Linked DNA regions of Struthio camelus. Each later gene encodes a partner of the first gene's protein in a complex. Links are inferred from orthologs where the notes say so. Each region holds a gene or a part of one and is shown on either strand. Other genes may lie near its edges. The genes, in order: HCRTR2 and HCRT.

The links.
Region 2: the proteins of HCRTR2 (region 1) and HCRT are in contact, whole or in part, in a cryo-EM structure (PDB 7L1U), measured with the Homo sapiens proteins. The link is inferred for Struthio camelus from reciprocal best matches to the Homo sapiens genes HCRTR2 and HCRT. Residues at the interface, in NP_001371201.1 of Homo sapiens: Thr111, Val114, Trp120, Pro131, Gln134, Thr135, Val138, Gln187, Val209, Cys210, Asp211, Phe227, Thr231, Ile320, Ser321, Asn324, Lys327, Arg328, Phe333, Ala334, Thr336, Arg339, Val342, Tyr343, Phe346, His350, Tyr354; in NP_001515.1 of Homo sapiens: Asn89, His90, Ala91, Ala92, Gly93, Ile94, Leu95, Thr96, Met97.

What each region holds. Positions count from the first base shown.
Region 1 is NC_090944.1:35,192,284-35,207,940, forward strand, and holds the start of HCRTR2 (orexin receptor type 2), read left to right. Parts: upstream 1-7,978; 5' UTR 7,979-8,180; coding exon 8,181-8,412; intron 8,413-15,657. UniProt on the Homo sapiens protein: Nonselective, high-affinity receptor for both orexin-A and orexin-B neuropeptides. Triggers an increase in cytoplasmic Ca(2+) levels in response to orexin-A binding.
Region 2 is NC_090966.1:7,582,153-7,597,003, forward strand, and holds HCRT (hypocretin neuropeptide precursor), read right to left. Parts: upstream 6,537-14,851; coding exon 6,516-6,536; exon of another isoform or gene 5,716-6,515; coding exon 5,272-5,715; downstream 1-5,271. Other genes in the region: KCNH4 (potassium voltage-gated channel subfamily H member 4), read right to left, coding at 1-44, 188-421, 3,748-3,823; inactive phospholipase C-like protein 2, read right to left, coding at 7,912-8,097, 9,018-9,127, 10,805-10,880, 11,410-11,613, 11,868-14,357. UniProt on the Homo sapiens protein: Neuropeptides that play a significant role in the regulation of food intake and sleep-wakefulness, possibly by coordinating the complex behavioral and physiologic responses of these complementary homeostatic functions.

The DNA.
Region 1 (15,657 bases):
AGATAGATAACCTGAAATGGCTGTTTTAAGTGAGGATTTGGACAGAGAGGCAATTCAGAAGCAAAGAAGATATTCAGTGGAAGTTAGTAGGTATGTCTACAACATACATGTCTACATGTATGTTGTACATACAGTAGGTATGTCTACAAGTTGTACAGGACCATGGCACAGCCTTAAACCTGTCTCTCAAGCTGTTCCCTGGCACAGTTCAGGGGCTGGCTTAGCCTGGAGCTCATTCCAAATTGGCAGCCAGCACACGATCAGGACATTCTGGGGAAAGGAAGGAAAAGGGTTTAAGCAGCACGGACATAGACTGGGTCATACCTGGCTTGTTTCATAGCCAGCAACACCTGTGCCCAAATGATGTAGGAACAGGTATGACAGTATTTGTCACCTCAGAGAAAACATATAGTCCTAAACAATTCCCAAGACCAGTTGACACTAACAACAGGTACTAAAGGAGTTAAGACACTGAATTATTGGCCTAAGAGTTATAACATGTTACTTCTAGTTGAAAACAGTACAGGAACAGTGAAAGGTATCAAACATGTAGCTACACTTCTAAAGGGCCTCCAGAGGAATCGCAAATAGTAAAGACTAGTAAGTCTGTATCCTATATTTTGCAATTTGATATAATAGAAGACAGGAATATACATAATGGAAAGGTATCAAAATGTTTTTGGGAGAGGGAAGGTATGCATCATAGATCTACTGTGTTTCTCTTAATAAGTGTGAAACATCCGTAAGTGTAAAACATCCATGTGATGTTTTATGATGTGTCCTTTTGTTTTCAAAAAGCGTTCTACTTTCACGGTCTTTCAAATACTCTTTACTAAGGTAAAAGAGGTAAAGATACGAAGGTATCCAAGAGGTTCAAGGTGATGGGACAAATATTAGAAAAAAAATGGTTGTTTCACTATTTCACTGTTGCACTGTTCAGTTTTTCAATGAAAAGAGTCTGGCCCTGTCTTCTCTGCACCCTCCAATCAGATATTTATACACACTGAAAAGATCCCCCCTGAGCCTTCTCTTTTCCAGGCTAAACAGGCCCGGCTCTCGCAGCCTTTCTTCGTAGGAGAGATGCTCCAGTGCCTTCAACACCTTTGCTGCTTTTCGCTGGACTCCCTCCAGTACATCCATGTCTCTTGTACTGGGAGCTCAGAACTGGACACAGTACTCCAGATGTGGCCTCATCAGGGCTGAATAGAGGAGGAGGAACACCTCCCTTGACCTGCTGGCAACCCTCTTCCTAATGCAGCCCAGGATACCATGGGCTTTCTTTGCTACAGGGTCACGTTGCTAACATATTCAATTTATTTTCCACCAGGACCCCTAGGTCCTTCTTTGCAGAGCTGCTTTCCAGCAAGCCGGCCCCCAGTCTCTATGAATGCATGGGGTTATTCCTTCCCAGGGGCAGGATTCAGCACTTCCCTTTACCAAGCTCCATGAGGTCAGCATCTGTCGTAAAAGGAGAGGTGAGAGAGCTGGAACTGTTCAGCTTGAAGAGGGGAAGGCTCCAGGAGGATCTTATCAGCATTTATAAATATCTGAAAGGAACATATAAAAGGACGATGGAGCCAGACATTTTTCAGTGTGGCCCGGTGACAGGACAAGAGGCAATGAGCACAAGCTGAAATACAAGAAGATTCACCTGCACATATGGAAGAACTTCTTTCCTGTGAGGGTGACTGAGCACTGGAGCAGGTTGCTCGGAGAGGTTGTGGAGTCTCCTTCCCTGGAGATAATCAAAAGCTGTCTGGGCACAATCCTGGGTGACCCTGCTTGAGCAGAGGGGTTGGACTAGATGATCTCCAGAGGTTTCTTCCAACCTCAACCATTCTATGACTCTGTGATCTGTTGGTTACCTGTTAGCTGTGCTCTCATGTATTTTATTTCTTACAATACATGAACAATCAAAATAAATAAAATTATCCAGCAGCAGGTTTAAAGATAACAAAGCAGGAACATTGTAACAAACCATGGAAATCATTGCTTCTAGTTACTTTGAAAGCCAAAAGTTTGGAGGGGTTCAAAAAACAGTCAAACAACATTATCAGAAGAAAAATCCACAAAGACCTATTCACCATACCAATAACAAAGCTGTGAACTTGGTGACTGCACAAAGATGGGAAACTGTAATGATGGAAAATATCACTGCAAACTTGTCTTACCTTCACGTTGTTCTCTAAACATCTATTCCTGGCCACTGTCAGAGATGTAACAGAGATTAAAGGGATCTTTGACCTCATCCTGTATAGTCTGCTTTTATGTGGTACTAGAGAACAAAGTAAGAAATAGTCTGATGAAAACATAAGCAAAATCCAGTATTTTGGGTCTGATCTAATGTCAGTGTGGTCCAGTAGGTCAGTGAACCTGAATGCAGAAGATACAGATCATACCCTTGTCTCTGTCATTTATCCTCTGTATGACTGGAAGTGATATGTCACTTAAAACAGTCCTTGTGACTGTTTTGCTTCCCACTCTTGATTTTCCTTCTCTGCTTCACGTGTATGTTCTGCAGAATAGAGATTGCCCCTTGCCACATGTTTTAAAGACCCAGAGCTCTAATCTCCATTATTTTCTATAAATAAAACCTTTTTTTTCTAGAGCACTAGATGTGCTAAGTTCATCTGAATGGCACTGATTTCCCTTAAAAAAACAAATCCTTTATCAAAAAGCTCTATGATCCTTCCTTCTAGGTACTCCTCAAAATACTCTAGAATATTAAAGTGTCCATCTTGTCTCAGGTTGGACCAAGATCCTGCACTACCCCCAAATGGGTCAGGAGTAGACGCTTGGGAAAAGAACGTTGAGAAACAGGTTATACTTGGAATTACACTTTCTCTGTCTTCAGGATTCCTGAGTGCAGTGTTTCATCCAAACTGTTTCATTTACAGCTTCTAATGGACTTAAAATTAAATTTTCCTAATCATTTTTCAGCCATTTGTATATGGCTTCTACAATATCTTGCGGAAATGAGTTCCAATATTTACATAAAAAGAATGAGAAGTATTTCTTTCTTTTTTGCTTATTTAAACTTGCTAACTGATATTTTCATTGAATGTGTCTTGTCTTATGAAAAAGAGTAAAAATCCATCCCTCTTTTGGCTTCTGTATTCAGTTCAGGGACATTCTGTGGAAAGGAGTATTGTAATTTGTTATATCAAGATTACATCTGTGCCTTGACCATTAACGATTTGTTTGCTTTTAAATGTTTGTAGACTTGGTGGACGAGTGCATATTGCAAATAGAATTGCCATTTTTTTCTGAACAGCTCTTAGTACTTAGAGGTTAATAAGCAAATGGTCCAGGAAATGGATGGAGAAACAGTGTACTTGCACTGATTTTTGTTTCTTTTTCTTTTTTTTAATAGGAATTGTACCTAGTTGGAAATTGTACCTATAATATGCAGGAAAGGGCACAGGCATTTCCATTGTTGGCTGCACAATAAAATTTTCACCAAGACTCAGATTCTCATATGACTTTTAGATCTTCTGCATTTGCACGACTGTGGAATGTATCATTTTAATTTGTATTACAGCAAAGTAACCTTACTGACATGAATGAAGTTAATTCTAACTTACAGCAGTGTGAATGAGACTAGAATCAGACCTTTTCACTTAAAACACACTGGTGGATCTGCTGATCTTTTCTTCTCTGATCACTGTAGTATTAGAGCACCTCACCCCAGCTGTGCCTCATTTTAATGGGATTAGTGAGCAAATAAATCCATAGAATATAGCTGATATTCTTGATATATTCGTGTAACAGTGCCTTAGCAAGCTCATTGGAATTTTTAAAACAGAATCCTGCTGAACAGGACCCTGTTTTCTGCATATAACGAGAAAAATGCCTAAAGTTGGCTAAACAAGATTAACTGCTGGATGTTTCTTGCATCACCCGTGGTTCCAAAAATTCAATAGCACGTCTGAATAATATCTATCGTGTTAAAACTAGTCTTGTTTTTTAAACTTACAGTTTATTACTAAATTAACACTAAGACAAAAAAGAGCCTAAAGGAAAGGTGGTGCTGCAAGTATGTTGTTTGATGGACCATAGTTATGTTCAGTTATAGCGTTTGCTCATTAGTTCATTCTTTTCTTAAACTATATAGCATTCATTTTCTTTTGTGGCTCCTTCCACCTTACTGACTGGTAGTTATTACCCTTTCCCCATGGAATTTTGTGGCTGTAGAGATTTCCAGATCTGCCTTTTCTATCAGTCTTTCTCTTCTGCTCTTAGCATCTCTCTTCTTAATTAACTTCTTCGCTTCTTCACAGTCTGTTTAGTTGATAATAACCCAACTGCTTTGCAGGAGCTACTTAGCTCTGTTTCCAGGGAAGCAGCAGATCCACCTTGACATGGAGAAAGGAGTCTCCATGACTAAAGGAGAAAAGATACCAGAGGGGCTTCACATCCAAATTTTGGGACATGGCTGAGCAGGATGGCTTCAGCAAATAAACGAGAAGATTGTTTTTCTGCTGAGGCATGGTGTGGCATATTGCATAACAGAGAGAAAGGGGGCAGAGAAAAGCTATTAAATCAGAATAGTCAAAGGAAGATGGGAAAGAAGGGCATATTCACACGATTCATCTGTGCTGCCAACACAGTAGTGTGTTTCTCCCCAGCAGCCGTGCTTGTATGGTTTGCTTCCCAAGAATGGAAGCACTTGCTAAAATGTTCAGCAAAGGTTGAACAGTAACCCTCAAGCTCATCTGCCTTTTCAATCAAAGTCTTCAAAAATTTTAAAAATTGTTCTACTGTGAAAAAAAGGCTCCTCATTTAATATGCTATTGGATTAGTATGGAACTAATCCTCTGAATCAAATAGATTTTAAAATGAAAGGGCTAGTCTCTAACATATGAAGAAATGTGGCCCATTTGTATGATCAGTACAAACGTTAAGTCTGCAACAGAATGATTATTATGGAGAGCTTGATGAAGCAATAAAACTTGGATGTTGAATTAGGGTTGTTTTTTTTTTCTTTTTCTATGAATGCCGGTTCCTTTGAGCTATCAGATGGCATAAAGCACAAATGTGTGTTTGATTTATATTCACATGGTCTAATACCATATAATAAGTGGCATTAAAAGCCCAAGACACATCTTCCAGGACTGATAATTTCATTTCACTGTTTTGGGATTAGCAGTGGAAATTTATGGATTAGAAAATATATTAATGTATGTGAACCTTTTAGCTAAATAAAGTATAAGACATTACTCTACTGAGGTAAAAAGGTTAATAGATATAACCTTGAATTTATCCTTCTTTTAAATGCTGAATAGCCAGTATATTCTTTCTTTCATAAATTTTAAAATCACATGTTAAACAGATTTTGAACTGAAAAACAGTTAACAAAATAAGAGTTATACAGTTTTGAGCATTTACTGTTCACTTACATATACAAGGGACAAATTTAAATTGCATTAGTCTTGGTACAAATATAGTTATAATTATATATATAAATATATATATATATGAGAATGGAATTAAAAGAAAAGATAAATCAGCATTAAAATTCATCAGCTGAATCTCTTTTGCACTTTCACAGATTGGAAAGCCAGAAGGGACTACTGTAATCACCTAGTCTAAGCTCTTGTATATTGCTGGTCATATGACTTTTGTGAATTAATTCCCATTTGAACTAGCTCTTATCTTCCAGAAAGGCATCCAGTCTTGATTTTAAAATGTACAGCTGTAGTAACTCAACTTGATAAGCGTTTCCTCAGTAGTAAATTGTGGTACATGTTGAATACTTTAGCTCGTTAGTCAAGTTTCCCTTATAATGCTGTCTACCTTAATCCACGTTCAAAGGTATACTTATTCATACCATCAGGGATCACATTAACCTTTTTGGCTATGGATTCCTGATGGGAGGTTGTGTTTAGCTGATTCTTCCTGATATTTGTAACATCTGTCAGCTTCGTCAAGGTCATTGAATGTTGAGTGTAGCAGAACCAAGAGTTGACCTGCTTGAGACCAGGAGAAACGCATGGGCTCAGTGATGATTCTTCATGTACCATTTCATTCTGAGACCTGTTAGTTAGCTAGTTTTTAATCTTTATAATGTGTGCCATATTGATTCCTTATTATCCTGTCTCTCTAGTCAGAACATGTTGTACCAATCAAAGCAAATGTCTTACAGCAGTCCAGGAACGACAAATTTATGCAGTTGCCTTTATCAGTCAAACTTGTAATCTTATTGAAAAATAATGAGTTGTAAGACCCATTTTCCATAAAACTATGTTGATTCTTAATATGTATATTTTTTAATTCAGTTCCTTGCTATTGGTGAGGGAGAAGGAAACATTCCTTGACTCCTAGCACTCTATGTTAAAAAAGGCATTACCTGTTGCAGAGTTTATGACAACTTGGAAACAAATATTGAAGTTATGGAACAACATTGTAAAACATGAAACATCTATCACGAGTGTGATATCTGTTACTGACCATGAAATAGTCATGTTCTGTGTCTCTTCACCATTAGTGAAGATCATGACAAGCTCCTTAAATATCTATTTCTGTTGATTACCAGATACATCTGCATTCTTGAATTCTCAGATCACAAATATCTTTCAAAAACTCATAACACAGCTAATAAAATCTTAGATGTTTTCACGTTGTGCAGAGAGTCTAATCTTTATGAAAATCTACCCTTCTAATCTATGTAAGCTAGGTGCTGATCCTACCCTTATATCTGAGGATATCTCAGTCTTTAATGTATTTATCCTAAAAAGTCCTCTCAATTTCCCTGTGGAATAGGAAAGAGATCTTTTCTTTATTTTATGGAGAGGGAACTAAAGCTAGGAGAGCAGATCTATAGAAATAGATAATGGCAACAACAGGTGTGCATATGCTGTGTTGGACTTTGCAGTCAACAGAGCAGGCTGCACGCCTGCAAAGAATGATTAAGTACCGTCTAGAGCTGAACACCAGAGTGCTTCTGAATTTCTGTCTCTCTGTGATGTCTATGTTTTGGAACTAGAGAAGCACAATGGTTCCTTCCTTCTTGTGGAGGTGCAGACCCTCCACATAAATTACTTGATTTAACTGAGCCAGGTGTGGCATTTCACAAAGAAAGTGGTGCTTATACCCTGCTCATTAAATCATTCAGCTAGGAATTACCTGGATAACAAATTATCTGGATAACAGGGTTTGTTTGTCTGTTTATTTGTTTGTTTGCTTTCCAACGAGGAGGGACAAGTCCAGACTTCCCGTCCCTTCACTTTCAGTTCAGTTCCCTTTGACTTTTTGCCCATTGTACACTGGGCAAAATACGAAAACAGTCCAGGAAGCAATGACCAGCAGCCAGGAGTCCTATCACGCTGCTTAAGTAGCGCTTGGCTTCTGGGCTCTGTTCAGTTGCTCTCTGCCAGCTCAGCTCAATTGGGAATAGCTAAATAGTGGGGAGCTGCTCTCCTGAGACCCCCAGCTGGATGGCTGAAACACCCTCAGGGCAGGGTGTTTCTACACACTAGACTGAAGCCCACAACGAGCTCTCCCGATCCTAAAACCCAAGAAAAGCACACGTTTGTCTCTTCAGTGCCCTTCTGGATTTTTCCCCTGGGGTTAATTCATTCCTTTTTGGTCACACACCCAGCAGAACTTTTTAAGGGGCACCCTGAGGAGACAGTCTCGTTAGCCAGGCATTTTTCAGCAGCTGCCCTCAGCCAGCAGCCTGCCCCCGCCGCGCGTGAACTCCTGTCCTTGAGCGCGCAAGCGTCTGGCATTCACGCCCTGTGATGTGCGACGTGTGAAAGCGGGAACAAGAGACGCGGTTGAGGGCGAGCAGCGGGGGGAAACGCACTAGCAAGGGGAACCGGAGCGGGGCAGGGGGGCCCGCGGCAGCCGAGGGCGGGCGTGCGCGCGTGCGGGGAGCGCGCACGGCTGCGGGCAAAGGCAGCGGGGCGCCGTGCGGAGGCGCCGCGGCTTTCCCCGCCGGCGGAGGCAGCGCCCTGCGCTGCGCTCGCTCCCCGCCGCGGCGGCCGCGCGCCCTGCGCGCCCGCGGGGCCTGCGCGGAGCCCGGGCTCGGCCCGCATTGGCTCCCCGCGTTCCCGCGTCATTTTCTGCCCGTCTCCCCAGCGGCCGCCGCCCGCCGGCAGCGGCGCGTCTCGATGGACGGGCTGGCGAGCGCGCTGGAGCGCTGAGCGGCTCTGCTCCGAGCCGGACCGCAACCAGGGATGTCCGGCCCCAGCCTGGAGGATGACTCCCCGCCGCCTTGCAGGAACTGGTCGTCCTCCCCAGAGCTGAATGAAACGCGGGAGGCTCTTTTAACCCCTTCCGCCGACTACGAGGACGAGGAGTTCCTGCGGTACCTCTGGAAGGAGTATTTGCACCCCAAAGAATACGAATGGGCGCTGATCGCGGGCTACATCATCGTGTTCGTCGTGGCGCTCGTCGGGAACGTCCTGGGTGAGTCTCGCTCCCAGAAGTTGCCGTGCAGCCGGCGGGGCGGTTCGCCCGGCGGCTTTTCTCAACGGCTAGAAACCGGGCGAGTTCCTCACCTCCCGCCGCAGCCTCTGGAGGGACAACCGCCTCCGGCAGCCGGGGCAAAAGTTAGGCGGAGGCGGAGAGCCCTCGGCGCCGGACGGTTTGGACGGTTTTCCCGCTAGCCGGCAGCGCCGGGAGGGCTGGGGCAGCGCCGGGGCCGCCGGCCGGCCGCCCCTGTCCGCCGGGCCCAGGTGCTGAACGCCGCCGCCCCCCGGCCCGCGGCGCTCGGGGCCGCCCGGCGGCTGCTGCCCCCGCCCGCCCGGCGGCTGCTGCCCCCGCCCGCCCGGCAGAGCCCCGCGCGAGCGCTGCCCGGAATAAACCCACATATGTTTTCAGGGACAAGCTGGGGGGGGGGGAGAGGGGGAGACGGACTAGCCTCAGCCCGGGGGGCGACGGGGAGGGCGGCTGTGCCACCCTCGGGAGCCCCCGGCCGGCAGAGAGCGCAGCCCGGCACGGCCGGTGCCCCGCGGCCCGGGGAGCGACGACGGCGGCGCCGGCCCCCCCGCGGGGGGGGGGGGGAGGAGGAGGAGGCCGGCGCCCTCCTCGCTCTCATTCAGGGAAGCGAGGGGAGGCGGCGCTTGGCAGCCCGCCTCCCGCTCGCGCCCTCCCCGCTCCCATTCATCCGTGAAGGAGCCGGCGGGCGGGGGGCGCGGCGGCGGCGGTTGGGGAGGGGCGGGCGGCCGTTGAGGCCGCGCGCGCGCAACGACGGGGCGGTTGGGGAAGGGGAGGCGGGCGGCCGTTGCGGGGGGCGGCTTTCCGCACTCAGGGGGGCTGCGCAGGGGCTGCCCCGGGGGAGGCGGCGGGAGGAGGGTCGTTGGCAGCCGGCGAACGAACGTGTGGTTGAAAGGTGCGGGCGGAGAGGAGCGGCCGGCGGGGAGGGGCGGGCTCTGTGCCACGGAGGCGGCGGAGGCTCTGAGCGGGCCGTCGCCGGAGCCCGCTGCCCCCCGCTCGCCCCCCGGCCCCGCGCCCCTCCACGGCCACGGCTGCTCCGAGCGGGCTGAGCTCCCCTTGCGTGAGGCTCCCGCCTCCGACACTCCGGCTATTTTTACCGGACTCTAAGGAAATGTGTTGGTGGCTGTGTCCGTGCGGGCAGCGCACACCGGTACACACACACACAGCCCTGGGGCATCTGCATCCCGACCGGCTGTTTCCTATTACTGCAGACACTTGCATTTTATGTTGCTGATTCTCGCATCAGCTGAGAGTACGTTAGCCCTAATAAATCCTGCATTTATGAATGAACGTGCATGCGGTATGACCGCCAGGGAGCTGGTTACGCCATGAGAATCCACTCCTCCCGGCCATTTGCAATTTTTTTTTTTTTAAATCTACATCATTGATATTTTCATGGAAAGGGTGGCGCACTAACGTACGGAGCCCTGCCTTAAGGGTCTTCCATTCATGTTTTTAAAAAGGATTTATGTATGTCAGGGTTGCTATCTGCAAGCTTTGTGGGCTTCTCTAGCCAAGCTGCGAAGGAGACTGAAGCCAAAGGCAACATTTTGGAAATCTCTTTTTTATTTTAAAGAACCGATACTGCTATTTTCTTTCTGCAGTGGTGTGCTAACTACTGATAAATACCGAATATGCACGCAATCAGTGTGTCTTTAGCGAAAGAGGTTACACTATTCAGAAGCCTGAACACCTGCTTGCACGCTCCATTGCTCGGCAGCGAGCCTGACGGACAGTGCTAATGGCCTTCCTAAGGAAGGTGTACTTAAACTACAAAGAAAACCGTCCTTCGTTCTCATCCTGAGCAAAGACTGTTTTTGGGGGGGATTTTAGGATCTGTCTTTACCTATTTACCACCACCCATTGTGTAAACAGGCGGTCCTCTAGCCTTTAAAAACTCAAGGTCAAATCTTTTCGGCTACAGGAGCTCTCAGCCTGTTTGCACTTCCCCCCCCCCCCCCCGTGAAAGCCACGAGGAGAAACAGTTTTCTCTCTTTGCGCATGCAAACAGAGCCATTATCGTGGCCAATGTGGAAACGTTCCTCCCCGACATTTGTGCACGTTTTCTTTTCGTCGGGGATGGAAGTTGGTGTTTGGCTGTCCACCTCTCCTTTGTGCTGGTCGTGCTGCTGCCTCTGCCAAAGTTGTCTGCCGTTTAAAGGGCCTTCGTGCGTTGCAGGGACCTCACCCACCCAAAGCGCTGTTCCTGTTTACAGGCAAGAAGTTGTTCGTGGGATCTGCAGGTGCAGGTGCTCATTAGCTGAACTCGTCTTTAAGAAATCTCATAATGCACTGACTGCAGGCATTTGGGGAGAGGAACAGATGTGGCCTATGCTCTTTTTCCAAAGAGGTTTTTATGAAACCTTGTTTGTTTATTTGGCGAGTGGCAAAAATACGGTATAAAGCGATACACATTCTGAACTTTCTCAGGGGATAATTTTTCCAATTTGAAAAATCCGTATTCAGGGTTAATCTAGAGTTTACTCATGGACTGCCTTGAACACAAGGCAACAGTGTTTCTAAAGAGAGTTTTAGTGGTTTATAGAGTCATCCTTAGTGATGCAGTGTGTTCCTCTGCTTATGTCTGACCAATGTTGCTGAACTGGTGCAGCATGAGAAGCCAGTGTTGTGGTTCTGCTTCATCCATGTCCTATCTGGATAGCACTTACGAAACCAGGGAAGATTTTTCTCTTCCCTGTATTGATCTGTACAATGATATATCTGCCTCTTATTTTCAATAGCACATTTGCAGGGAATGAGGAAATACGTTGTATCCCCCCAGTAACATCTGTACAGATGGAAGGCACAGCACCTTCCTCAGACATTAGCAATAGCCTGGATTAAAACATTCTGACAGTTAACTAACAGCTAAGGGTAGAATCAGAAGCTTGACCTTTGATTGACATCTACTGGACTTTTGGCTGAGCTACACTGCAGGAATTCTCCCTACTAATAGTAACATATAACAAGGTCTGCATTGCCGCTTTCTATTCAATTAGGAGAATTGCCATGCACTGTCCAAACTGCTGCAAAACCAGCTAAAATGAAAACCATCAGCAAGTCCTTGCATTTGAATGCAAGTCTGATTACTGCTTTCAAGTGCTTCATGTTACTGATTCTCATGTGTGCCCACATTGGCTGCCCACCAGAGATCTCATCTGGAGCCACTGAAAAGAAACATGCCCTTATTGCATAGCTGCATTTTCACTTGCAGTGTAAAACCTCAAGCAATAGCAAATTTTTTTTTCCTGAGAATTACTGGCCGAAGTTTTAAGACGTAGTTACACTAACACTGAAAGAATGTGAACCCTGGGTGATAACATCAGCATGTATCCCTAGAAGCAGAATAGATATTGAGAGTAAGGACTTCCTGTTCTGCACACAAGATCAAAAGATTTTTATGCCACAGCCCAGGAATAGAGCTCTTGCAACTACTTGGCAAGGGTAGTGCAAAGCAGTACTTCTTACCTGGGTACGTATGCTGAGTAAATGTCTATTTCTTCTTTATTTGAAAACATTATTTAAAAATAGAAAACCAGAAAATTAAGGTAGGAAAGGTATTTTTAGGATGCATGGAGGTCTGTCGTCACTGGACTACTACTGGATCATTCCACTTTAACCAGTTGCAGCAGTTAAAAACTGAAATAAGACCATAAGGAATTAATAGTTAATGCCCAAATCCATACATTTAACTCTGTTTACACAGGTAAAGAATGTGAATGGTTCTTGTTTAAGTTATTCATTAGAGTAGGTCAGAAATTTTCTAATTAAATGCTTTCTTTCAGGGAACACTCACTCATTCATCAAAATCAAAACGTACAGCAGAGATCACTTGATTTCGCCAGAGACCCAACACAGAAGAAGGCAGCCTCCTGGTTTCCTGCCAGCTGGCCTGCTGGGATCTCTTGGCAGCCCATCCTGGAGCAGGCAGGAGCTAAGAGTCCTAGGACACACAAACTGCCAGCTCCCAGCTTGACACTCCACAACATTGCTGGCTTCCAAGGCTTGGAGGCCATGCAGCGTGTCAGAGAGAGATCCAAGAGATTTTCTTTACTCACATAATTTGATGATATTTGCTTTTCTTTCCAACTCAGAACCAGATAGGTCTATTGTTTATAATATATTTTATAGTAACTCCTAGCAGCACGTTATGCTGAGGATGTAGAGAACTGAACAGTGGTCCTTTCCTCAGAGAGTTCGCAGTCTGGCTCATAGAGCTCAAGGTGATTTGTTTGTTACTTACTGCAGTTTGATTTTAGGCCTGCTTTCTTCTTGGGTGTAGAAGAAAGGTTTTGTGTAGTTCTAACACCTGAGTTCAAGTTAATGTCTATAAACAGGTAACTGTAATCTCTCGAGTCTTTCTCTAATACGATTTTAAATATATTTGGTGAACTACTGAGGTCTATGTGTACATGCAAGTGTTGGTAGAATAGGATGATTCATGTGTTCTCTTAAATGGTGCCATGATCTTCATGAATCCTATTTGATGGCTGTAAATGAGGCATATTTTATTTCATTGCATTTTGAGGTTTTTTTTTCATTTTGTCCAGAGTATTTGGGGAATCTGGCATTGCAAGGGCTTGAGGTCTGTAATATCAGCATGAGAACCACTTTTATCTCCTAGATTGTGAGTACCTAGGATTGCTTAGTCATATTTAAAAAGATACCACATAGGAAATGATATGGTACTGATATTGTTTCATCTACCTATGATATAGAATATATGAGCTTCATTTATGTAAGAGGTAGGGTTTCAACTGAATTACACTGGTGTTTGTGTAATATCATGAGAATTACTAACAAGAAACAGCCATGCATATCCTTCTGAGATACATCAAGAGCAGAAATGCATTAAAAGATGAAGCTTATTTAAAATTATGCCTATTTCTCTATAAATTTTCATATCCAGATGCTTAAGTCTAGTTCCACTGTATAACCCTTCTGACCAGAGAGTCCAGAGGGGACACAGCTCTATTCTCCATTATCATCCTTTATGCTGAAAGGTTACACCGCGTAGCATGAATAGTGCAGTCTTACTGAATCTGATTCTGAAAAAGGGCAATGCAGGGACTGAGGAGACTAAAGGAAGGTGAGCTCCAAGAGGTCACCTGACAACTTGAACATTAATAAAAATTGTGTTGATTTTTATTTCAGTTCTTCTAAAAGAAATGACAGTTACCTCTGGCTAGAGGCTGCTTTTACAGATGGATGAAAAGGAACGTACTTGAGCAGTTTGATTCTTTGTGTTCTAACACCATTCCAAAAGACACTAGTTCTGCTGTGAACTATTCAGTGACAAAGGAGGAGGACTAGAATTTGGACAAATGGACAAGATCCCAGTCTCAAGGATCAAAAACTATAAAAATGCATTGAAAGAGAAATAAAAATTATATTATTTTCCTAAGACTTCTCATATCCTGTTTAATTCACAATTATCTTTGATTCTGTTGGTCTTACTTCTGGGGCTTGTGTATGTTGGAAACTGAAAATTTAGGACTCCTCTTCCATTCAAGTCTCTTCCTTTCTTCTGTCTATAGAATTGCTGATGAAATATCTCTTATCTGATATATCATAAGCCTCAGACTAAGAGCTGGCTACTTACTCAGCAGCTCCCTCAAAAGAGCTAACTAACACCAGAACATCAGGTGGGGTGGCAAGGGAAAGCACATTAACATGCATTTGGCAGATTAAATAGGAAAAAAATGGCAAACTCTTCAGCCAGTGCACAGCTTCAGTGAGACTGCTAAAAACAGTAGAGTTATGTCTACCAGGAACTGAACAGAGACTATCAGAACTTACGCTTTAGGTGAGTGAAGTACCCTTCAGACAGAGGTGCCTTTGGGGCATTACCAAATGAAATGTAACTGAAGATTGTTGTCACTACTTGATTTCACTCACCATCTTTCCAAAATGGAAAGTTTTGGAATGTGGCTTAGTTTTTCTAAGCAGTGTTTATTTTCTGTGCTGCATGTCAAGTGAAACCTTTTTCTGGATATTTGTTAGCAGCTGATTTACTTGCTTTCAGTGTTGTGCTTGCTCACAAATGGAATTTGTCATAGAACAGCAAGAGAGGGTTGCTCCCCCTGGAAGGCAAGCCAGGAGCTGAGGTAGCCAGGTGGGCAGGGCAGTGCCCTTGCCAGCAAGGGCACAGCCCCACAGTGCCCAAGCAAGGAGAGCAAGGCAAGTCCAGTGAGAGTCACCAAGGTCAGCCAACAGCCCAGCCCAACCAGCTGAGTATGTTAAAACCAGGCAGGTCTGAGGTTAAGCCAAGAAATCAAGTCAGTGGGTCAGCAGCACAATCTGGTTCAGGATGGCTCATGACCGGCCACAGGCGCACTTACAAACAACATGGTCTCTGCCAGAGCTAAAGGCAAGAGCCTAAGCTTAAATGCAGTTCCCAAGCAAATAAGAGACCTCCTCACAGCTGTCACAGCTGTCTCCCAAAGCTCTTTTCCCAGCGGTCTGACCCCAGCTTACCCAGTTGCACCATATTAGAGCTGGCCTCAGGCTTAGGTGGCCAAACCTTGGGCTGGAAGAAGAGGATGCAGGGCTGGGTGGTGCGCTTGGCCCTGGCAAAGCTGTCCTCTGCCTCCTGGTTCTCAGAACAGTAAGACTTCCAATTTTTGGAATATGATGTTAGCAGTGTGGATTTATGATGTAGTTTCAGACATGTTATACTGTGCAAGATATTCATTGTAGCATTCCCATTGCATCGTGAATGGTATTTTCTTTGTATAGTCTAAAGAGAAGGAATTCTTACACCTACATTAGAAATAAACATGGAAGGATTTTTCCTAACTTAAATCCATTTAATGCTGATTGATGGATGCGTTTTGAAGCATAAGGTTTCAAAGTTGCACAGCATTTCAGGCATGAAGCTCACCTTGATTTTAATGAGCCACTCAGATTTTAGTTTGAATCACAGTGAAGTCTGAAATCTTTTCATCGTAGAATCATATGCAGTATAACAGCTATATTTAGGGTCCTTACATCTCTAATGTGAAGTGTATGTAAGGATTTTGTAGGCTTTTTACTGTTACTACAGATAGACAAATAAGTACTTCAAATGCGGTCATGAAATCATTGATCATTCAGCACAGACAGTTCTGCAGAGATGACCAGAAATGTCAACTCATAGTTGTAATAATATGGTGTGTGTGAGTGTGTGCGTGCACACGCGTGTTTCTGTGTATGTACGTGTGTGTGTGTAGGGAC
Region 2 (14,851 bases), on another chromosome or scaffold:
GTTCTTGATGGGCATAATGTCCAGCAGGCACCAGAAAGCAGCTCCTGCATGGAGGAGAGGAGCGGTGAGGGCAGGACAGGCCCTCTGCTGCTCTCCGTGCCGGCAGGTTCACCCCGAGCCCAGGACGGGCAGCACCCCGGGGCGCCAGCGCCGCATCCCGCAGGGCCCAGCCCCGCGTGCCACTCACCCCCCTTCTTGTAGAAGCAGACCTCGGTCTGGTACTCCTGCTTGCCGTCCAGCACCTTCTCGATGCGCTGCAGGACGGGCTCGCTGGTCTCTGCCCCGCAGAGGAAGCGGCAGCTGCAGTTCTTCTGCATGACCTCCGTGCGGGCGAAGCCGGTGAGGTCGCAGAAGCCGTCGGAGCAGTAGACGATGGGGAAGCCGCGGAGGACCTGCGCGTTGGCCAGGATGAAATTGCTGTCTGAAAGGAGAGAGACACGGCTGCTGCAGCAGGCAGGGGGCCACCCTGGGAGGCATGAACTACCGCTGCACTGTGCCGGAAGGGGACCAGGTATTCATCTCACTGTCATCTGCTCCCCTCTGCAGACCCTGCTCTCCTCCTGCAGCGGCAAAGTGCCCAGGCCTCTGGCTCCCTGCACCACTCCCCAGGCCACACATGGAGTCCCACCTCCACCGGCCTTGCCCCGCAGTTCCCAGGACCATCCAGCCCACCAAGGGCTGGCAGAGTCAGGCAGAAATGTGCACCATCACGTGAACCAGGGCCCATCTCCAGCCCAAGCTGGGGGGCCCCCGGGACAGGCTCCTGGGGTGGTCCTTCCACTCTGGCACCCCAGAGGCCCCAGCCCCGCTGTGCTGGAAGGGGAAGGAGCCCAGATATAGCTCCTGGCTCCCATCGTCACAGAGACGCGATCCCAAGCGACGCGATTCACGCCTCCCCCTCGCCATCTGCTGCTCCCACCTTCCCGCTGGGGCTACAGCGGCTTAGCAGGAACAGCAGCAAACCCGGCCAGGAGCTGCTGGTGGGGACATGGCCAGGCTGCAGCGCTGGGGCCCCCAGGGGGCCACCCTGGCTGAGAGGGAGAGAGAAAAGCCCCCAGCCCCACTGCGAATGCTTGGGCTGAATCAGGCAGTCCACGCTGAGCCAGGCAAAGGAGATGTGCAGGGGAAACACCATCTCTGCCCTGTCCCAGCACCGCCAGCACTCGTGGCTCCCCCAGCAATACTCCCACCCCAGCAGCCAGGTGGCTCGGGGCAGACGAAAGCCCTTGCCACCCCCCAAGCTCCTGCGGCTATTTTGGCACCACATCCCACCCAGCCGCTGCCAAGGCCATTGCTGGCCGGGCAGAGCAGGGCCCGGAGCAGCACCTAGCGCAGGCGCTGCGCCAGTGGGGACAGATGGCCTCGTGCAAAAGCGACACCAAGGAGCCAGCGCGCGCAGCAGCTGGGCTCACGGCATCCGTGTTCCCACCCGCCAGGGGCCCCTCCACCCCACATGCCAGGCACTGGCAGCAGGAAACACGCTGGCTGCCCGGTTTCACAGCGAAGGAGAGGGAGGCCAGCCGCAGATGACGGCACCCACAGAGAGGCAGCGAAGCCGTGCCGGGACCGCAGCGGCCTGGGCAAGGGCAGAAGGGGCTGTGGAAGGGGTGCCAGCCACACACAGCCTGGGGTGGGGGGGGGCTGCGCCAGGGCCACCGCAGCACAGCTCAACCCCGGATTAGCTCAGAGAAACAAAAATAGCTTGAGGCTGTGACTAAGGCCAGATTTTGGCTCTGATGAGCCAGGATTACTGCGTTGTCCGGGGTGTGTTATTAGAAAGGGAAAAAAGGACTCGCCTTTAGGAGCAGCTCAGCCATGAGAAGGGGAATGTGGCCGTGTCGGAGGCTCAGCGGCCCCCTGCACAGTGACCGGCCTGCCTGGACAAGTGACCTGAGGCCAAGCAGGGAGCAGCTGCGCGGGACAGCCAGGGTTAACTCGCATCATGTATCACTGCAGCTAAAGCCCCTCTCCATGGCAGATAAAGCCGATAACAAACACATCAAACCCGCAAAGCTGGACACTATTTAAAAGTGCCTGGAAGGCGGGTTTGAGCAATTGAAGGCAGGATGCTGTCAGCCAGCTTCATTCCCAGGCATCCCCAGGGCAGATTCCTGAGGCCTTTCTCCTACTCTTCCCAGGCAGCTCCCCTGGGAAGAAAGAGCTGCTGCATCTGAAAGCCCCGATCCAGGTCTCCAGGGCCCCAGGGCCGGGAAAGGGGGATGCTGTCCTTGCTGCCCACAGAGGGCTGCCAGCAGCTCAGAGCTGAGGGGAGCTCCTGGTGCCTTTGGAAGCTGCTTGTCTCTGAGCCGGGGCTGGCTGAGGGGGCTCATTGCTTTGTTATGCATGACGAATCTCGAGGGTAACACCCCCAAGGACAGCTTCTATGGACAAATGACATCCTGTGCCAGCAGGATGGGTCTGGGGGGCCCCTGCTCCAGGTGATCTTGGGGAGGCCTGGGGTCAGGACTGAGCAGGACCTGTCCCTGAGTGGCTGCCAGCAGCTGGCACATGGCACCGCTGCACAATCCCTTCTCCAACGTGCCAGGGCCTTAATCCATCCTAGCACTGGCACATGGACACAGGGAGGAGCCCAGTTCCCAGGGACACTCCAGCACCTCCAACTGTGGAAAGAGGCTGCAAAATAGTCAGCAAGGACAACAGCCGTGCTCCGAGCCCCGGCTCTCAGTATTCACCTCTTCCAGGGACACAACTCCAGGCAAACGAGAGGCTTTTCTAACTAGGCCCTAGAGGTGGGCAGGGCCCCGCACGGCACCTGAGCACCAGGAGGTGAAGCCCGTGGGGACCCCAGGCAGAGGTGCCCGTGGAGAGCTGGCCTGTGCAAGCAAGGGGAGTTTCTCCGGTGCAGAGGTCCCGGTGAAGCCCGGTGCGATGCTCCCCACACCCCTCTGTGCACCGCGGAGGCGACGGGCACACGCGGCTCCCGACGGCTGCACCGGCGGCTCACGGCGCTGGGGATGGAGCCGAGCCCTTTCCCTCGCCCCAGCTGGCTGAAGCCCCGGCCCGGAGGTTGCCCCGGGCCCCCCGTGCGCCGCGGCCGGGGCTCGGCCCCCCGGACCCCCCGGGCCCCCCGGACGGACCCTGCCGCGGCGCCGGGGCCTCCCGGCTGGCCGGGAACTGTCCGTGGTGCTGAGCGGCCCCGACGGCGGCGGGAGCGGCAGCGCGGCCAGTCCGCCCTGGAGCGGGGTCTGCGCGGGGCCCCGGGCCCACGGCGGGGTGCTGAGCCCCCTGGGGGGAAAGGGAGGCCCCGGGGTACCGAGCGCCCTAGGCTGCACGGGGGTCTGCGCGGGGTGCCCAGGTCACCGAGCACGCCCGGGCTGCGCAGAGGGTCCCGGGGGTGTCGACCCCCCTGGGCTGCACGGGAGGGTCCCCTAGCTGCAGAGGTCGCCTGGGGGAAAGGGGGTGTCCGAGCCCACCCAGAGAACACGGATGTTCCCGGGTCACCCAGTCTGGCAGGGCTGCACGGGGTGGGGGGGGTCCCGGGGTGCCGAGCCCGGCTGGGTCTCACGGGGGTCCCCGAATTACTGAACTCGGCCAGGGCCGCCGGGGGGTCCCGGGCCGGCGGGGACGGGATGGAGAGCGTGGAGGGTCGTGTCCCGCCTAGCCCTTGGGGGGGGAGTCCCCGCCCCGGGGCGACCCCCCAACCTCCCCACCGCTTCCCGGGGGCACCGCCCCCCCCTCCCCGGACCCCCCGCCGCAGCGGGCCCTGCCCGGGAGGCGCAGACCTACGTGTGCCATCGAAGCGGGTGGCAATGGTGTCCAGGAAGGTGTTCTGCGGGGCCAGCAAGCCCTTCATCACCGGCATGGTCCCGCCGGGCCCGCCCGCCGCCCCCGGGCCCTCCGCAGGTGCCACCGGCTAATCCCGGCTCGGCTCGGCTCGGCCCGGCCCGGCCCGCCCGGGGCCCCCGCTCCGCCCCCCGCCCCGCCCCGCCGGCACCGGGAGGGGCCTCGGCTCCGGCAGCCACCGGCCCCGCGGCACCGGCAGGCACCGGGGGGCACCAGCCCTTGGAAAGCCAAAGCGGGGGGGTCCACCGAGGCTGGGGAAGGGGCAGGATCGGCCCGTTCGGGGGCATCTGCCCAGTCCCAGCCCACGGTGGGGTCCCACTGCAGGAACGGGGGCGCGGAGCTGGTGGAGGGTCCCGGCACCCTGCAGAGCCCCGTTCCCCCACTGCCCTGTCTTGCAGTAGGCCAGGGAGGCACGAGGCAGCTGGGAGTGGGACCCCGCCCTGGGCTAGGACCCGCAGCCAGCCCGCAGCCCCCCAGGCCAGCCGTTGCACCCAGGAGAGGGGCTTGGGAGCGCTGCTCTGCAGAAAGCTGGCCCAGTGGTCACAATGCAAGGCCATGCCCTGGGAGATGCCCCTGACGGGGACAAAGGGGTGACAGGACCCAGCTAGGGCTCTGCTGGGGGTGGAAGGGTCACCGTGGGGGGTGGAGATGGGGGTCCCGTGGCCTGCAGGGGGTCGCTGGAGGCTCCCTGGTGCTGCAGTGGGGGAGATGCTCTGAGCCCCCCAGGGCCCTGCTTAGCCCCAAAGTCCCTGTGGCCGGTGGCTGCCCTGCCCTGGCAGCCCTCACGTCCCCCAGCACCGAGCTACTCCCCTTGCTGCAGCCCAGGTGCAGAGAGCCACAGCGGTCCCTGCCAGGGGGTCCCCGATTTCCTGGGAGAGGCTTCGTAAACACCCCTGCACCCAGACACCCTGCCTGAGGCTCGGTTCTCCCCAGGTCCGGTCCTGCACCCAGCCAGCCGAGCCCAGGCACACCTGCAGCATCTCCCCAGCTCACGCTCCCCGCGATGGCGCGGTTGAGCCCCACAGCCCCTGCTGCCCCGCAGCAATCCCTGCTGTGCCAGGGAGCCTCTGGCCCCCTGGGCTCCTGCCGACTCATTCTCCCTTCACCACCACCCCCCACCCCCGGAAAAAGGGGCCAGAGCTGGAAACGTGCAGACACAGCAGCATCAATCCGTGTCCTGGCACAGCGGGTGAAGGTACCAGCCTCGCTGGCTGCCCTGGCACAGACCCTGGCAGAGCCCTGAGCCCCGCAGGCCCCATCCCCAGAGACAAGGCAAAGCTGCGTAACGTCAGGCTACCATTTATTGTAAAAGGCCAGCGGCGCCCACAGTGCCCTGAGCAGGCTTGGCCAGGGCCACAAGGAGGTATTTGAAAGTACTATTTACATCAGGCTCCACAGTTTGAGTCCCCAGGGTCTGTCGCCCTGCCGGGATCCCCCCTCTACTCCCAGCTTTCCCCCCCAACCATCTCAGTAAAAGCTCTTTGCAGCCCCCTGGGCCTGGCCCTTGGTCGGGTCCTTCCCCAACTGTCCCTGGCACTCCCCGGGGCCAGCAGGGCTGGTGTCAGAGCGGCTCAGGGCCGGCGTTGGCGGGACGTCTGTGCCCGAGGGGCAGCCCGACGCGTCGTGGCAGGCGGCACCGGGGCGCTCCCCTCGCTTGCCCATGGTGAGGATGCCTGCGGCATGGTTGCCAGAGCTGTGCAGCAGGCGGTAGAGCCGGCTCTGGAAGGCCGGTGGGACGCTCTTCCTCTTGCCCAGCGTGAGGATGCCGGCGGCGTGATTGCCCATGCCGTGCAGGAGGTCGTAGATGCGGCAGGAGCAGGTCTTCTGCCGGCAGCACTCGGGCACGTTCTGCCGGGCAGCGGCCAGGGAGCAGAGCAGGAGCAGGAGCAAGAGGCAAGCAGCTCTCTGGAGCTACCGGAGCAACGGGCTGGTGTTAGGGCAGGGGCAGCCGGAGGGGCTGGGGCAGCAGGCCCATGCGTGGCCACCCCGCTTTTCCAGAGTGGCCAGCCAGACGGCCAGCACCCAGCCGGGCTCGGCTCCCACCTGCCCGGTCGCTGCCCGCACGACCACGCTGCTGGGGTGTCCCAGCTCCAATGGGCAGAGCCACTGCTGCATGGGGACAGGGCTGTCCCCAGCTTGGGCTGCAGCAAGGGAACACAGCAGGAGGGGACAAGGCTCACAGCTGGTCCTGGCTTCCCATCCCTGCCACCTCGCTGCTCTGGGAAAAGCTCTCCCGAGAATAGCCCTGGAGCATCACCCTTCAGTGCCCGGTGGTACGGGCAGCCCTGCACCCTCCAGGGATGGGGGAACCTGTGAGTCCTGCTCCACACTCCCCGTCCAGCCCCGCAGACCAAGGCCCCGCTCACGCTCCGACCATGTTTCCTTCCCGCCGCAGGAACAAGCTGCAGGTATCCTCGCTGTCGCGCACATCCTGCTCTGGCGCAAGGCAGCAAACACCCTCCCTCACTGCAGATCACCGTGGGACGTGCAGCGAGAGCCCCCGTGCCCTGCCCCTGCCGTAGCACACTGCAGCGTGCACTGTGCACCCCGCTCCCTGCCCAGCAGGCTGCAGCCCCAGCCCATGCGGGGCCGAGTCCCGGTTCCCAGCCCGCACTGCCGCCTCCCCAGCATCACTTCTCTCCCAGCTCTCCCACGCCGCCCGTGTCCCCAGTTTGCCTCCACTCCGACGGGCTGCTTGTCCCTGGCCCCACCTTGGTGTTCGGTGTCTCCATCGTCCCCGGGTGTCTTCAGGTGGCCGAGCGGCGCTGGGGCATGACCCACCAGGAGCCGAGGAGCAGAAGCCGCCCTGAGCAGCTCACCTTGGCCACCGGGCTTTATAGGGGGCTGTCCCCCACCCATCCCCAGCCCTCGCGGGGCCCTGCACAATAGTGCTGCCAAAAATACCCCGGGAAGCGGAGGGGCTGGCGGGAGCCGGGCCGGTCTCCCAGAGACGCGCACTCTTTGTTCCCGGTAGCCCGGAGACCGGCCAGGCCTTTCCCCTCATTTGCAGCTCCCCATTGTGCGGGGCCGGCGCAGGGCGGGCGGCCGGGCGCGGGACGCCAGCGGCTGCGGAGCCTGGCACTAATGAGGCTGTAATTGCCTAAGGGAGCCGCAGCCGGGCTGGCACAAAGCGGCCGGAAGGTCAGCGCCGGGAGGACGCAGCGGGTCCTCTCCCGACTGCCTGGCCCCAGACAACGGCAGCTCGCCGGCTCGTTCCTCGTGGCCCCATTAGGCTAATTACTGCTCCAGAACAAAGGGGAGATGGGGGCTGTGCAGCTCTGTGATGGAGCTGGCACGGCCCCACGGTGCCCATCCCCAGCGCCGGCAGCACCACGCTCCCCCCTCTTCATCAGCCCCACGCCTGCCCTTGCCCCCCAGCCGGGCACGGAGACGGAGCAGCAGGGCACCAGCGTGGGTCTTGCACACTTTATAACCGTGCCACAGCCCTGGCCCGACCCCAGACCGCCCCTCGCTCGTGGCCTGTGCCTGGGATGCTCTCGCCCCAGAGAAGTCCAGGATGTTTTCCCTGATGCCAAAAGCCACATCTGCTCCCGCCTGGGGCCCCCGGCTGCCCCAGCCCCCTGCGAGCTGCGCCAGGGAGCCTGGCCAGCCCCTCTGCACCGCAGGGCCCTGGGGACTCCAGCGAGGGGACGGCTCCAGCCAGGCAGGTTTTCCCAGGGCTGGCAAAGGCAAAACCTGCAGACCTGAGCCCAGAGATGGGGCTGTTTGTCCAGCGGGCACAGCAGGCTCGAGGGGTACATGCACACGGCCATCGGGGTGCCAGCACGCCCAGCCGGCCCCGCGGCCGGGCGCTCGCGCTGGAAGCGGATGCAGGAGGAGCTCGGTGGGGCTAGGGGAGATGGGAGCAGGGAGGTCCTTCCCCAAACGCCCTGCTCTGTGCCCAGAGCTGGTCCCCAAGAGCCTTCACCGCTGCACTGGCCCCGCTGCAGCCCTTCAGCTGCCCGTGGGCAAGGCAGCGCCCTGCCCTGCGTCTCCCTCCAGATGCACCAAACGCCGGCGGGCAGGCCAGTGCCCCCAGCCCGGGGCACAGGGGCGATGCCGTGCCACGGGAGCGCTCAGTCCGGGCCCCGGTGCCCCGCGCCGGGGTCAGCAGCACGCTGCGTCACCGCCTCCTTCCGTCTCGGGGATGGGCTCCAGCGGGGTCCGCAGCCGGGAGGGGTCCGGCGAGGCCGCGCCGTTCCTGCCGATGCCGCAGGACTGCCCCGCGTTGTGGATCTGCCACAGGTTGTCCAGCGCCTCCGCCTTGGCGTGCTTGAGCAGGTCCGCCTGGCCCTGCCGCCGAGCAGAGAGGGGCGTCAGGGGGCTCTGCGCCCGGCCCCAGGGGCTGCACCGGGCTGGTTTTGCCACCCGCACGCCCGGCCGTGCCGCGCTGCTGCAGCCCACCGGCCAGGCTGTGGCACTGCGGGAAGGGGCCCCCCCAGCTGCCCCCTTCACTGCAGGCAAAGGCAGGGGGCACCGGGAACGGCTCCGGCTCTGCGTGGCCCAGACCTGCCCGGCAGTGCTGCACGGAGACCCCCGCGTGGAGCAGGGCCTGCCCCCGGCCGGGGCGCGTTCCCACGCCGTGGCTGGCCCCGCTGGCAGGGCCACGGTCCCACCAGGGGGGAGCACGGGCTGCCGGGACGCGGGCGCATCCCGGACCGCCAACACGGGATGGCGAGAACCAGACCGCTGCATCTGCGGAGGGCACCCAGGGCGCTGCGGCCAGGGTGCGTGAGCCGGACCGCACACCCCAGCATGGAGCCTGGGAAAGCAGGGTACGGAGGCGAGGCCGATGGGCCGGTTCGCAGCCTGCTCATGCAGCCTCCCGGGACGCTTTGGCCCATGCTGCCTGGGGCTTTGGGCAGGCTGGGTCAGGAGTCCCCGGAGGGCAGCGTCCCCCAGCAGCACCCCTAAACACCCGCAGCAGGGAGCAGCGCAGACCCCTGGGGCTCCCCGCTGGCGGCCATGCAAAGGCAGCGGTGAGGGACGCGGGAGAAAGCAAAACGCCTGCCCGCCGCATCCCAAGCCCCGAGGCGCCGGCAGGACCCGGGAGGGCCCCACACCATCGCCTGCTGCCTCGGCACCATTGCTGCTCCCCAGGAAGCCTGCAAGATGCGCTCGGCTGCCCCGGGGCACCCCTCGGCCCCGACCGAGCCCGCGGCCCCGGGGGGTGCACCCGCACCGTGGCAGGATGCAGCCCTCGCCCCGCTCACCTTCAGCACGGTGATGTTCCAGGCGAAGCTCTCCAGCGCCTTCTGCAGCTTCCTGCCCCGCAGCCCCTCCTTGGCCTCGATGCGGTGCAGCTCCTTGTGGAAGTCCATGCCTGGGGCGCGGGGCACAGCGAGAGCACTGCTCAGCCGGGCAGGCCAGGGCAGCTCCCTACCCCAGCACCGAGGGAGCAGGCTGGGCTCCCCGCTCCGCCGCCGGCTCCTCCGGGCCCCCAGCGCGCGGGGAGCGACGGGGCGCCCGGCTCTGCGCCACGCTCAGCCCCAAACCTTGGCGCGAGCCCTGGGAAAAGGGCTGGAGCCGAGGGTCCACCCGGAGGGCAGCGATTGCCCCCGGCACAGGCACAGTCCTTGCACACCCTGGCCCCGCGGGGGTGGCAGCGCGGGCCCGCCGGCCCCCCCGGGCGGGAGCAGGGACCCCCGCGCCGCGCACCGCGTGACGTCCCCGTGAGCGGGTGCTATATTTACCCCTCCCTGACGAAGCACCGGCTCCGGGGCCCACGCAAGGGCTCCCACGCCAGCCCGCTCGCCCGCGCGCCGTCAATCAGCACGCCCCCGCCCCCCCGGCGCCGCAGGCAGCAGCCGACCCCCGGGGTGCAAGGGCCGGGCCGAACCCTGCGCGACCGCCTCAAGGTGCAGCTCGGCCGCCCCCGGGCCAGTCCGGTGGGGCGATGCCCCCTCCGAGCTGCTCTTCCCCCGGCAGCACGGCACAGACGGGCTCTCGCAGCCCTTCCCGCGGAGTGGCGGACCAGGGTGCAGAGCCCCCCCCGGCTCAGGCCCCCGCCACCGGCTGCCCCAGCCCCCCGGGGCCGTAGCCGCCTTGCTCGCACTGCCCCACGCGCTGGCAGCGGCCGCGGAGCCGCCAGCCAAGCGCTCGGGGAGATTTCCAGGCTGCCGCGCAGCCAGAACAAGCAGGGCTGCTGGCAGCAGGGCTGGCAGCGGGTCGGGGCCCCCCTTCCTCCCCAGGGCGCCCCGGCAGCCCCCGGTGCAGTGGGCAGCGGGCACGGGTGCACAGTGCTGCCGCGGGGCCGGGGCGCCGGCGGCGCGGGGCAGGCTGCCAGCGGCACCTGCCCGCGGGGGTCCAGCCACGTGTCGCAGAAGTCACAACACTCAGTTGCCGCTTCTACCGTCAGCCCCAGCCTGTTATTTCTGATGCTAATTATATTCTGGCGTTTGGCAGCTAATGACTCCCCTCCGCTTCCTCGGCAGCCTCCTCCGCACTCCTCCCTTCCCTCCCGGCGCTTCCTGCGCTGCCCGCCTTCCCCAGCCGCCCGCCCCGGGGGTCCCGCCGCCCCGTGCCCTGCTGCAGCGCCGGGCGGCTCGGCGCCCTCGCTCCGGCCCCGGGGCCGGCCTGCCCCCTGCCCCTCGCGGCGCTGCCCAGGACGTGGGAACACCGCAGAGCCGGGCTCCGGGCCGCGCCAGCCGGGACGGTCGCCGGGGAGCTGCTCCGCCGGCGCCTTGCAGCCCCGATGCCGTGCGCCGCCTCGAACCCTCTGCGCACAGGCGGGCGCGCGGACACACGCGTCCCCGCTCCTCCCGTCCACCTGCACCGCCAAAATCCCAACAGGCGGCGGTGCCAGGCTGCTGAGCTCATCCCCGCGGGGACACGCGTCCAGGCCAGGCCGGGCTCAGCAGCACGACGTCCCCCACGCCCGGCACCACGGGGGCACCCGCCGCAGGACCCGGGGTGCACGGCGGCCCCGGCGCCCCGGGGACCGTGGGCAGGTGCAGCAGAGCTGTGCAGGGGGCTGCGCCGGCCCTTCCCGGGGACCCACCTGCCTGCTGCGCCTGGATGAGCTTGCCATACACGGCGTCGGCGGACTCGATCAGCGTCCGGCTCGTCTGGATCATCTGGGGGAGAGGAGCGGGGCGGCGTGAGCAGCGCCGCGGCCCCGCACGCTGGTGGGGGGGTGCTCGGCCGGCTCTGCACCCCCTGCCCCGGCCCTCCCGCGCCCCAGCCAGGTGCAGGCGGCCAGCGCCTGGCCGGCGGCCAGGTCTCCCTCCAACACAAAGGAAGGAAGCAGCTCCGGCTTCGGCTATTAATGGGATTTCTCCCGCCAGGCGGGACCGCAGGATGCCCCCCGGCCCGGCGCCGGCGCAGGGGCTGGGGCAGCCCGCGCAGGGGGATGGGGTCCGCGCTGCCGAGCGAACGCCCCGGGCAGGGATGGAGCGGCGGGGAGCCTGCACCAAGTCGGGTCCCTCGGGGGCACCCGCCGCTGCAGCCCCCCAGCCCAACCCCTCCGCCCCGGGATGGATGCCAGCCCCAGCGCGCCCAGCTCCGGGTGAGCGCAGCGAGGCAGGGTGGTGGCCTGGGTGCGCCCCCCCACCGCGCTCCCCTGCGAGGGGCAGAGCCCCGGGCCCCCGGCAGGACGGCCCTTACCGTCTCGTAGGCGGTGAGGACCTTGCGCAGCAGGTCGGGGATGGGGCCCTGGGCCTCCATGGGGGGGTACTGCTCCGCCAGGTTGAGGGTGACGCTGGGCGCGCTGTCGCTGTGCAGCAGCCACGCCGCCACCGTGATGATGCACTGCTTCATGTTGGCGGCGGGCGTCAGGCCGCACAGCTCCTTGAAGGAGACCAGCGCGTTCTGCGGGCAGAGACCGGCGTCAGGGGCCCGGTCCGGGGAGGGGGCCGCCGACCCCTCGCTCCCTCCCCTGCCTGCTGGGAACGGCCCCGTCTCCCCTAGCTTGCTGCTCCAGATGAGGCTTCTCATCCGCCCCCTCCGGAGCCGGGATCAGGAGGGACACCTGGGTGCTCCCGATTCCTCGCCGTCCAGCCCCATCCTGCCCCAGAGGAACCCACGTCCCGGCTCCCCGCGGGTGCCACCGCTGGGTCTGGTACCTGCACGTTCTCCCGCAGGTCGGTGGCCTCCCGCAGCGGCTGTGTGGCTGTCCGGAAGACCTCGTCGATGGCCTTAATGCCGGTGGCCTTGGTGGAGGTGTACTCCCGCACGCGGCGGCCGCGGCGCCCCGAGAGCCCCCGGCGGTGCCCCTTGCCCCCGCCGCGGCGGTCCGTGATGGCCACGTGCACGAAGAGGGTGGCGTGGGGCAGGGGCTCCCCGGTCAGGGACTGGAGCGGGACGTGGCGGTACCCGGGCTGCAGGCACTCGAAGGGGATGGTGTACTGGGCGATGAACTCGTCGCCGATGTAGTCATCGTCCAGCACCACGAAGCGCAGCACGGCCAGCTCCGGCAGGTTGATCTGGAACTCCAGGCTCTCGTCGAAGACCGGGTTGTCCCCGCTCTGCAGGGCCGTCTTGGTGCGGTGCTCGGCGCAGTCGGCCGGGATGCCGTGGATCTCGGCGCACACGTACGGCTCCACCACCTCCCCCTTGGCCCCCGAGCCCTTGGGCTTGGGCAGGTTCTGCCCGCTGATGACCTTGAGGTGCAGGAGCTGGGCAGGCACCCCCGGCAAGGAGTCCTTGGCGTTGGCACTGAAGTAGGACACCTCTTCCCGCATGATGGCGGGACGGAGGACGTAGCCGCAGGCTCCGTTCTGCCGGAACCAGCCCGCGTTCAGGTCCATCATGAGCCCCGGCGTCTGGTAGTTCATGGCCACCATCTGGCAGCCGCATTTCCAGAAGTCCTGCGGGTTCATGTTGCTGGCGTCGATGCGCATGGGGCTGGGGTAGACGCGGGAGAGGAACCGCTTGTTGTAGCTCACCAGCTCCGCAGGGCACTCGTTGGCGAAGCGCCCGGCCTCCACCTCGCTGAAGGAGCACATCTCCCAGTAGCGCTGCCCCCGCCGCGAGCTCTCGAAGTCCTGGAAGGGGACGGCCTGGCAGAGGCTCACCAGCTCCGAGAGCTCCCGGCTGAGGCGCACCCGGCGCAGGGCACCTCCCTCCGGCATCTCCCGGTCCTCCTGGCCCAGGCGCCGCGCCAGCTCCCAGCCTTCCTCCTCATCCGACACCTCGCCCTCGCTGTCCTCACAGCCGGGCGGCAGCTTCTTGCCCTTGATGAGGATGCGGCCCTTGAGGTGCTCCGGGGAAGGCAGGTAGGACTCGGCGGGGTTGGGGGGCTCCACGTACAGCTTGTCGCCCAGCGTCTTGCGCAGGCACTGGGCGGCGAGGCGCTGCTGGGTGGCCGAGCAGCGCACCACGAGGCAGAGGATGAGGGGGTAGGCGGAGGCGGCGAAGGCGTGCTGGTCGATCAGCCCCACCACGGTGCGGAAGGGCACGCAGGAGGCGGCCGAGGGGCTGGTGTAGACGACGGGCTCGCCGTCGGGACCGTCCCACAGCACCAGCTCGATGCTGCGGCAGCCCAGGCCCAGGGCGCTGATATAGCCGCTGATGTCCGAGCTGCCCCAGAAGTTGTCCTCCAGGAGGCAGGCGCTGTGGGCAGAGCTGATGTAGTAGTGGGAGAGGGGCTGTGCCATGTCCTGGCACACCTTGCGGTGCTGCGGGTCGAAGATGGAGCAGTCGGAGGAGAGCAGGTAGCGCGTGAAGCCGTCGATGGCCAGGTAGCCCTTCTCCCGGCCCTCCTTGGAGGGCTCGTACTTGCCGACGATCTCCAAGCACTTCTCCTCCGTCACCCCCTCCATGCCCTGCTCCACCTCCAGGAACATCAGCAGGTCCTTCAGGCCCAGGTACTCCTTGTTGCTGGAGAACTGCACCAGCAGGAAGAAGATCTCGGGCCGGGTGCAGAGCTCACAGTAGGCCTCCACAAAGAGGTCGCAGGCCACGTCCATGCCCACACGGTCGCTGGCTTTCTGCAGCTCCTTGAACTTCAGCTCGATGGTAGAGGCCTTCATGCCTGGGTTCAGGGCTTTGATGAGCTGCACAGCCCGCGACACAGGGATGCGGCCAGACTTCTCCAGGTCAGCGAGGTCAAAGACGGAGGAGATCCAGGAGGTCCGAAGGCTGGGGTGGCCGGTCCCAGGCGCCTCGGGTGTGTGCTTGCCATAGGACACCAGGTACCGGAGCCCCATCACCCATGCACTCACCACGTCGGCTGAGCTGGCCACCAGGTCTAGGGACTCGTAGTTGTCTCCATAGATGATGGAGAAAGCGCATTCGTCTGGGAACTGGTCAGAGAGGCCGTTGCTGCGCAGGATGGGGGTCTTCTTGCCCACGCGCACCTCTTTGACTGACTTGATCTCAATCTTGGCCTTCTCCGAGTCCTTCTTGGAAGGCTCCCAGCGCACGGAGCGCATGTCCGAGTCCAGCACGAAGAAGCGGCTGTACATGCGGGAGTTGGAGCGTACCTTCTTCAGCTCGCAGCCCTCCAGCATGAAGGAGATGCAGGCGGCCGTGCTGTTGATCTTCCGGTCGTTGGGCATGGTGCTGAAGGACACTGTCTTCTTCTTCTGCATGGGCCGCTGCCGAGAGCCATCCTGCCAGGGTGGGGAGAAGGGAGCAGAGCTGTCAGGGCCAGTCCCGACCAAGAAGGCAATGCCAAGCACACCCGTCCCGGCCCTGGCTCCCTCCTCCCGGCACGCTCTTCCCACCCTGCTCCCAGCCCCAAGCCGCAGGGTGCCCCGGGGAGGCAAAACCCGGCCAGCGCAAAGCCCTGCTGGGACCCCAGCCCCATCCCGCTCCTGGGAGCCACAGGCAGGTGGAAAGGGATGAGGGGCCCGGGCCTGGCAGCGGTGCCACGCTGGTCAGACCCCTCAGAGGAGCCCGCGAGGCTCTGCAGGGACACAGGGACGGGCTGCAGCTGGGGGCAGCGGCCGGGACCGGGAGCTGGGGCACACGCAGCCCTCCGCAGGCCGAGCTCCCGGCCACGCGGGGACGGGCTGCTCCTCGCTCGGGGCTGTCCGCAGCGGAGCACAGACGGAGCAGCTCTGCTGCAGCCTCGAGGACACCTCCTGAGCACCGAGGGCCACCG